Coturnix japonica: one gene and its partner. The protein of the gene in region 1 purifies or fractionates together with the protein of each later gene. This does not show direct contact. Links are inferred from orthologs where the notes say so. Each region holds a gene or a part of one and is shown on either strand. Other genes may lie near its edges.

The links. The genes of interacting proteins can lie anywhere in the genome.
Region 2: the proteins of ATP11A (region 1) and TMEM30A purify together in Homo sapiens (co-immunoprecipitation; 4 studies listed by BioGRID and IntAct, with this or other methods). This does not show direct contact. The link is inferred for Coturnix japonica from reciprocal best matches to the Homo sapiens genes ATP11A and TMEM30A.

What each region holds. Positions count from the first base shown.
Region 1 is NC_029516.1:124,203,816-124,208,532, forward strand, and holds the start of ATP11A (probable phospholipid-transporting ATPase IH), read right to left. Parts: upstream 3,277-4,717; 5' UTR 2,650-3,276; coding exon 2,611-2,649; intron 1-2,610. UniProt on the Homo sapiens protein: Catalytic component of a P4-ATPase flippase complex which catalyzes the hydrolysis of ATP coupled to the transport of aminophospholipids, phosphatidylserines (PS) and phosphatidylethanolamines (PE), from the outer to the inner leaflet of the plasma membrane.
Region 2 is NC_029518.1:73,683,125-73,687,182, forward strand, and holds part of TMEM30A (cell cycle control protein 50A), read left to right. Parts: intron 1-3,399; coding exon 3,400-3,516; intron 3,517-4,058. UniProt on the Homo sapiens protein: Accessory component of a P4-ATPase flippase complex which catalyzes the hydrolysis of ATP coupled to the transport of aminophospholipids from the outer to the inner leaflet of various membranes and ensures the maintenance of asymmetric distribution of phospholipids.

The sequences.
Region 1 (4,717 bases):
AGAAAGGAAAGCAGTTACACAGGACTCAGACACCACTGCATTAGAAGCTTCCATCAGTACAATGCAATTACCCCAACAGCACCTCCAGCTTCCTTCAAGCAGCGACTGCTCTGCACCAGGGAAGATCCACAGCTAAGTCCAAGGTGCAGCCTGGAAAACAACAGTTCATAGTTCTAGGCTATCAATTGCTGATGAGTCTCTGCATAGATTTGAAATAATCCATTCTCTTTTCAGTAGTGCGTGGGGACAGGACTAGGGGTAATGGGATGAAACTTCAGCATAGGAAGTTCCACACCAATGTGCGGAAGAACTTCTTTACAGTGAGGGTGACGGAGCACTGGAACAGGCTGCCCAGGGAGGTGGTAGAGTCTCCTTCTCTGGAGATATTCAAGACCCGCCTGGACACCTTCCTGTGTGACGTGGTGTAGGGAACCTGCTTTGGCAGGGGGTTGGACTCGATCTCTAGAGGTCCCTTCCAACCCCTACAATTCTGTGATTCTGTAATCCCAAGCACGAGCTTACTTTAGTACATATGGCCTTGGATCTCTTTGTCTCCTGCAAAAATGCTACTGCTTGCTCTCCCTCATTAAGAAGTAGCCTGGAAAAAGGTAAACACATCCACACTTCTGAACCATAACTGCTTTGTACACGGCTCGGGTGAACAACTGTTGAGCAACACTGCTGACACATCCATCTGTTCCTCAGATACAGCAGTCAGTTTCAGGCACAGCATTCAAACTATTCATTTTCATTCTATATAAAATAAAAATGAAGAAACTGACTTGACGACTGAAGAAAAAGTAGTGCAAAAAAGAGCAAGCAACAGGTGAGAATATACAAGGCAGCTTGGAATAGCCGGGCAGTTCTCCAGGCACAGCCTAGACGGCATATACATAATGTAGAAAGCAGAGTGATCTAGGAAATCTTTCCTCACAAGGGCTATGTGTTTCATCAGGCTTTTAGACTGCTGAATTACCCTCAGCAGCAATACAGGTGCATGATGATGGTCTGCAACTTCGAAGTCCAAGTGCCACGTTCAAGTTCCTACATACATCCTTGTCTTTTAAGATAGAAATTACAGCTAATCTTAAGCTCATTTCAATCACATTTGATGCTCAGTTTGAAAGAGAGGTTAGAGCTCAAGTTCTGCAGAATACCTAGAGATCACAGTTTGCTCTATGCACAATGAATGCGGTATGATTTTTTTGGAGTACTTAAACAGGTATCAGCTATGAGAACACAAATCTTCAGCTAAACCCCACATTTCAGCCTGGAGAAGAGAAGGTTGTGGGGTGACCTCATTGCAGCCTTTCAATACCTGAAGGGAACCTACACCCAGGAGGGGAGTAAACTTCTTCGCAAGGGTTGAACAATCAGAGGACACGGAGAAATGGTTTTAAGTTAAGAGGGAAGATTTAGGTTGGATGTTAGGGGAAGTTCTTCACTAGCAGAGTGGTTAGGCCCTGGAACAGGGCTGCCCAGGGAGGTTGTGGATGCCCCGTCCTTGAGGTGTTTCAAGACCAGGTTGGACGGGGCCCTGGGCAACCTGATCTAGTAAAATGTGTATGTTTGTTGGCCCTGCCAGGCAGGGGGGTTGGAACTACATGATTCTTGAGGTCCCTTCCAACCCGGGTCATTCTGTGTGTGATTCTGTGTATGAAGATCAGCAGTGCCAGGTCAGTGTACTCAGACTGATCTTGTTTCAAAACAGAGCCCAGCACAGCTCACCTGAGCTCTGCACATGCACACAGCTGACTTCTCTCACACCTCATCATTCCTACAGTACTTCCTCCTCCCCTCGGGGTTACTTTCTAAGGATCCCTATACAGGTCCCTGAGTTCAGTACTCACCTATTCTCTCCTAATCCCGCAGAATAATACAAGCAATAAACAAAATCCAGCATTATGCCTCACCGTAAATGAGAAATGCAAATGAAAAAGCTGAGCGTGCATTACGTGAACAAAGCTCAGCACACCCAGCGCTCTGACCAAACGCAGGTACGGTCAGAGCGTGAAAGCTTCTTGGCTTAGAGCATTTCCTGCACGAGAGGAAGAGCTGTGCGTGCATGGAAATCCCCGCTGCCTCTTTGCAACATCACTTCCCAATTGTTTCGAAGTTTCCCTACACCCAAAAGCAGCAACCCGCATCCTCCTGCCTGCTGGCCGTTCCCAGCCCTTGGATCACAATGATCTGCTCTTTACGCACCTCGTTCTACACCTAGATCCACTCTAACGCAGCACTGCTTTGCTTTAGCTCTGGGAGTGGGAGGGAGCAGCAAATAAGGGCAACTCTCTGTCCCCGAAGCAAGTTTGGAGCGCTCGAATCCTACCGCGCGCGTCTACAGACAGACAGGATTACCCGAGCACTCGCCCGCCTGCTTAACCCAGCCAGCTCCGCCAAACACAACCGGACTGAAACACCGGGACCAAACGGGACAAGCAGCACAACTGCGACCGAAACTCGGGACGTCTCCCGACAGCCGTTCGCGCAGGGGGCCGGGCTGCCTGCAGCCTTTCGCACTAACGGCAGAGGGCCGCCCCGACCCCCGCGATGCCGCGCTCGGAAGGAGCACCCCGATCGGCAGCTCCGCGGCCGGGTGTTGGTACTCACGTATCGGCTCACGAGAGTCCGGAGCAGGCTGCAATCCATGACGGGCGGCCGCTCGCCGCTGCCCGGCACTCAAGTCCGCGCGGCCGGCTGCTCTCTGCTGCCGCCGGGCTGCCCGGCTCTCCTCGCGTGCCACATGCAGGGAGCCGCGCCCGTTCCCCCGCCGCTCCTCGCCGTCCCGGCTAAGCCGTGCGCTGACCGCCGCCGCTACGGCGCGGTGCCCCGCGGCCCCTCATGCCCCACAGCGCGGCTGCCTCACTCTCAAGGCGAGGAGGAGACGCAGAGAAACAACACCGCCGACAGCCCGCTGGGCTGGCCGCGCTCCCGCCCCGTGGAGCCGGCCCAGGGCTTTATCCGGCGGGCTCGCCCTACACCGCTCCCCTCGCTGCCACCACCCGGCCCGGCTCGCCCCGCGGCCGCTTTGATCCCGGCCGGGCTGCCCCGGCCGCGCACGTCACGCGGGGCGGGCGGGCATGCGCGGGGCGGCGCCCCTCCCTCCTCCCCTCAGCTCTCGCAACTGTGGGAAGCGGGAGGAGGGTGGTGGGGAGCGGTGGCCGCTCCCTTCCGGGGGGTAACGGACCGTTGGGACCCCTACCCCGCCTTACACCACAGGGAAACAGCCGCTGCCGGTGCGGCGGGGCGAGCTGCAGCCGTGCTCCAGGCAGAACCGGCGGCTGAGGGATGGCGGTCCTGGGGCTGGGAGCCGTTAGAAAGACGTCTCGGCTTCCAAAGCCCCGACAAACCGAGCTGAAGGGGTTTAAGTGAGGGGATGTGCGGAAGTTTCTCTCGACTGTAGTGCTTTCGTGTCCATCGTAGATTTAGGGATACCTGGGGACTCGCTTGGCTTTGCCGAAGACTTGTATGTAGCTTCAAACAAATTGAGTATTGCTTTCCATGATTCAACGTAACAAAACCTCAGGCTTTATGCTAAATGCTTCCTTTAAAATGAAGTGGAACTCTACACTGTCGTAAAACTGAAGATGTGACTAAAAAGTCAACTTTAAATAAAGCAAGCGAATGGCTCTGTGCAGTCAGACTGAAAATCCGCTCCTCTCAGCAGCAGTCAGTCGCATCAGCTGCTCTGAGTCACCAGGCTCTGCCCAAAGCATGGTTAGTTGTCCTTCCTTTGGTTCCTGATCATTGAGTTGCTTTCCAGACACTACATAACCCTTCCAGACCAAAGAGAACCCAAACTTATAACTTACATATGAAGAAAAAAGGAAAAAAACCCACAGAGATTACGCTATTTGGGATCGTGTAACATTAAGAAGAAGGGCATATGACTGGTTCTTTCCAGGTGACCTTTAATTTGGATGTGTTATCTATGTTCAGCAGTTTTTAGACAGCCAAGTATATAATGTGTGCAGTAAGTGCAGTGCGGTCGAGCTAATGTTGCTATTCAGACTCCAAAGTGGTGTTGATCTAAAACCCAAAGCTTTTCAGCTCAGCTACTGCTAATAATTTATATTCCTTTTGCAGCACCTGTCTTTGAATTTCAGTTATTAGCTTTATCCCCATTTTGCATCAAGCAGCAATTATGGCAAAGCGAGGTTAAGGATCTGTACTCCATGTCTTTTCATCTTTGGTAACCGTGATGGGGCTGTGAGAAACATTTGCCTCAGATCCAGAACCTAAAACTCACTCGTAGGTGCAGGTCTCTCCAAGAGACAAATGTTTTCCATGTTCTCTAAGGTGAAAGTGGGACCGATGCTCCCATTCTCGCTTTCCCCCTCAGTCAAGGACGGGAAAAAGGGTCACACATGCGTGGTTATAGCTTTGCCATTTCCAGGCTACTGCTCAAGCTAAGCTGAGAGATTATTGTGACCTTCCTGTTGAAGCTGTGACACTGTGCTCTTAAGAAAAGGAGGACAGATGGATCCTGAGCATACACTGAAGTCCCAGCCTGCATTAGTTGTCTTTTTTACCACATTTACACAGAAAGGAAACTTATAAATGCAGCCCAGAGAGAACAGTGGTAGCCCAATGGAAGTTAGCACAGCAAGCTCTTGCTGACCAAACTGCGTGTGCATAAAGAGCTGAGCAGTACATGTTCCTTTTTGGGGTGACAAGTTCCTCTGGGGTTAATAAGTCACAGAGCAGGGTGTTTAGG
Region 2 (4,058 bases), on another chromosome or scaffold:
CAATAGCCTGCTCGTGAGCTGCCTCTGTGTATAGCAGCCTGAAAGCCTGGTGTATTGTAACTGAATCGGGTGTATAATTGATGTCCCCAAATACATATTTGTGTACGGTTCATATTATCCCTAGGCCTGTCCCGGAACTTGATGCTGCAGCCTCCGAGAACTGCACTGTTATTATGTGAGCGCAAGCAGTGAGATGTGGCCTTTCCATTGATTTCCTTTAGAAGCTCTCTTGAATTTAAATGTGGAAGATGTCCAAAATCTGAAGTGTCTGAGGATTATGGGTTGGTTTTTGTGTGTGCACTGGTTGTTCTCTATCCTTTTCTCACTGTTTCAAAGCAGGAAATGGTTCATTTGAGTGAAATATGAGGAAAAAGCTTCAGAAGTGTCTATTTTCTGCTTTATACTGTTGAAGAAGGCCAATGTGGGCCTATTTTTTCTGGTTTGTTTTTAGAATTCATAAGAACTGTTGACAGCACGTTAAGATGTGATATACATTGAGCAATGTCTGGGATACTGAGTGAACAGGAAGCACATCCCAGTGCTGTGATTGCTGCTGTGAATTGTTTAACAGTAATTAAGACCAGACCCAAAGGCACTGCTAGGAATGAGGAACTGAGATGAGGTGTGTGACTGTCGTGTGCGTCTTCAGTGCCGTGTGTGGTTCTAGTTGCCCAATCATCAAAATGATGGGAAACATAATGAAATCTGCAGAGATGGATATAGAGGGATTAAAAAAAAAAAAGAAAAGAAAAGAAAAACAGACTGATTGGATGCCTTTTATTACAGGAAGTGACCAAGGATAGTAATTGCAGGTCCAGAGCAGAGGAGCTGAGGGGAGGCCTGATGGCGGCTGCAGCTCCTCACAGGGAGCAGAGGGGCAGCACTGAGCTCTGCTCTGTGTGACAGCGACAGGGCCCGAAGGAACGGCATGGAGCTGTGAGGGGAGGGGCAGCTGGGGGTGAGGGACAGGGGCTGCACCACAGGGCGGCGGGCATGGAACAGGTTGCCCAAGGCAGTGGGCACAGCCCTGAGCTGTCACAGTTCGTGGGTGCTGTGTGGAGCTAGGAGTTGGACTTGGTGATTCTTATGGGTCTCTCCAGCTCAGGATAGTCTGATTCGTTAGTAGCATCCAGTTGTAACAGCTGTGAAGCCTACAAAGACCACAGGTGGTTTGGAGAATGTGTATGCACAATAGCTGTGTTATTTCTGCACAACAGAAACAAGTGAGCTGAGAAGGACATCAACAAACTGAACGGCCATTGGGCCAGGAGTTACCAGCTCCCTTTGAGTCTGTAGCCTCTTGTTGCTGTTGCTTTCTGAAGCCCTGGTGCTGGATTTCTGCCTTGGCTCCATGCATCAGTTCTTGTGTTCTTGAAGCAGTGGTTTCATTATTTGTCAAGTGATGAAGACATACCTGTATCACTTTCACTCAGTTGTCAATGGAACATAACAAGTAATGTGTTCTTCATGTAAGTGAAATTTTTATATCTTGCTGGTCCCTGTGCTGCAGCTGGACCAAGCCCTGAAGGAGTGCTGAGGCAGAGCTACTTAATAAAGAATCGTAGAATGGCCTGGGTTGAAAAAGACCACAATGACCATCTAGTTTCAACCCCCTGCTATGTGCAGGGTTGCCAACCATCAGACCAGGCTGCCCAGAGCCACATCCAGCCTGGCCTTGAATGCCTCCAGGAATGGGGCATCCACAGCCTCCTTGGGCAACCTGTTCCAGTGTGTCACCACCCTCTGTAAAACCTCCTCCTGATATCCAACCTAAACCTCCTCTGTCTTACTTTAAACTAATTCTCCCTTGTCCTATCACTGTCCACCCTCATAAACAGCCATTTGCCGTCCTGCTTATAAGCTTCTTTCAAATACTGAAAGTCAAATATTTACTTCAGCATAAATGCAGTATCTCATTTAGTGAGAGGCAAAGCTTTCCCTCACCTAACAGCTCTTGAATCCAACTTATTTCAGCTGGGCTTGTCAGAGGAAGGTTTCATCTGTCAGCAGTCTGGCAGCAGATCACAGATCTCTGAAATGCCTTTGCTGAAGAAAGAGCTGCAGCTCTTAACAGATATCAAAGAATCTATGGGAGGGAGACCTTGAAGAAGATCCAGAAGGAAATAGGCTTCAATTGTTCCTTGAACCTTGAAACCGCTTGTTTAATTTACCCTTAATGTGGATTTTTGGGCAGATTACTGAGAATCAGAATGATTTATAGTGTTTGACCACAGCTGTAAATCAGAAGATACCATTGCAGCAGTCTTTCATAAAGCTGAGCAGGATTTGTAGCTCAGAGCACTTTGTTTTGGTAACTTGTCGCGTGTTGCCCTGATCTGAGTTCTGTTACTAAGTAGGAAGCTCCTTTTAAGTGCAGAAATAATAGTTCATAAACAGATGGAATCTTTCTCCTACACACGGAGCTAACCTGCCGAACCCAAAGCAGTTATTTCCTTCCGCTTGTATCCTGCAGCTACGCAGGAGAGAGTCAATCAAGTGACTTCTGTTGGCAAGGGCTATAGGATGAGAGCCCCAGGTGCTCAGGATACATTGTGTAACATAAAGGTGGCCCAAATGTGCAGATTTCAGGTAAATTTTTTTGTTCTTGTTGCTGAACTATTAAAGACAGATCCTTGATAAGCTACGTTAATAGTGATCGTATTTTCTTTTTCATCTGGTATTTTACTGTTTTTGGCATTTGTGTCTTCACCTTCCCTGTTTTAGGAGAGCTCTTGAGTGCCCAGGGAGGCTGTGGATGCCCCGTCCTTGGAGGTGTTCAAGGCCAGGTTGGACGGGGCCCTGGGCAACCTGATCTAGTAAATGTGTATGTTTGGTGGCCCTGCCAGGCAGGGGGGTTGGAACTACATGATCCTTGAGGTCCCTTCCAACCCGGCTCATTCTGTGATTCTGTGATTCATTAAGCGGTCTTTGAAAAATCTGATGGAGTGCCTAAATATAGGCAGTAAATAAAAGTTTTCTTAAGCAAAACTTTTTTCTTATTTAATATCTTTGTAGGCTTTTAAAAATGAGACTTCTCTGGAAAGCATGTAGCAGGTTAGATCTGCTTGTTATATACTGAGCGTGTTTGGTGGTGCCATGAGTATCTGCTCAGTGTGTTTTGGTGGGTTGTTTTGTTTGTTTCTTTCTCTTCTTTCCCAGCATTAATGGCCCACACTGGTGCCAGATTTGTCTGAGGCTGGAACAGAATATGCAGTCAGAATCACAAAATAGTTTGGGTTAGAAGGGATCATGAGATCATCAAACAGAGCTTTTGGAACTGAGATGTAGTAATACTGCAAAATAAATGCCACACCGATTTCTCTTGCTTATTAATCAATTTTATTTGCTTTCTCACTCTAAACTAATGTGGATTTTTTTTTTTTTTTTTTTCTGTTATAGATTGATTATACAGGAATAGAGCCTTCCAGTCCTTGCAACAAGTGTTTAAATGTGTCCTGGGATAGCACACCGCCTTGTACCTGCACAATCAATTTCACACTGGAACATTCATTTGAGGTACATAACCTTGCATGCAAAGTGAAATGAGATCTGCTGATGTGGTTTATTTTGTAAGTGATAGGAAAATTGCATTCTCACAGCCTTACTTTGTGTCTGCCTTGAAGGATTATTTCTAGTATTCCTATGAACTTGGATTTGATGGCTGTGTGTCTTTTCATTAGCAGAGATGAGATGGTTTTTAGTGCCTCTCTATCTGGAATTGCAGTGTTAAGTGGGACACGTGTCTTTTACACATCTGGATTTACTGTCTGTGTCCTAGGTGGGCGTCATATACTTGACATGTAGATAAGCTATTCCTGCACAACTTAAACTGAGTTCAGCAGGAAGCAGCAGCACTAGATGCATTCTTTGAGGCAAATAATGAGGCTTATGTGCTTGGTGTTGGACAAGGTAAGTATTGGGATAGTACTGATGAATATCCTGCTGCTGGTTTATGGCATGTTGATATTGTTTGACTTCAGGATGCCAGCTTTTGTTGGGATAGTATTGTGTGTATTCAGTACAAAGAGAGTCTTTGAGCATCACTACTGTGAGTGTTA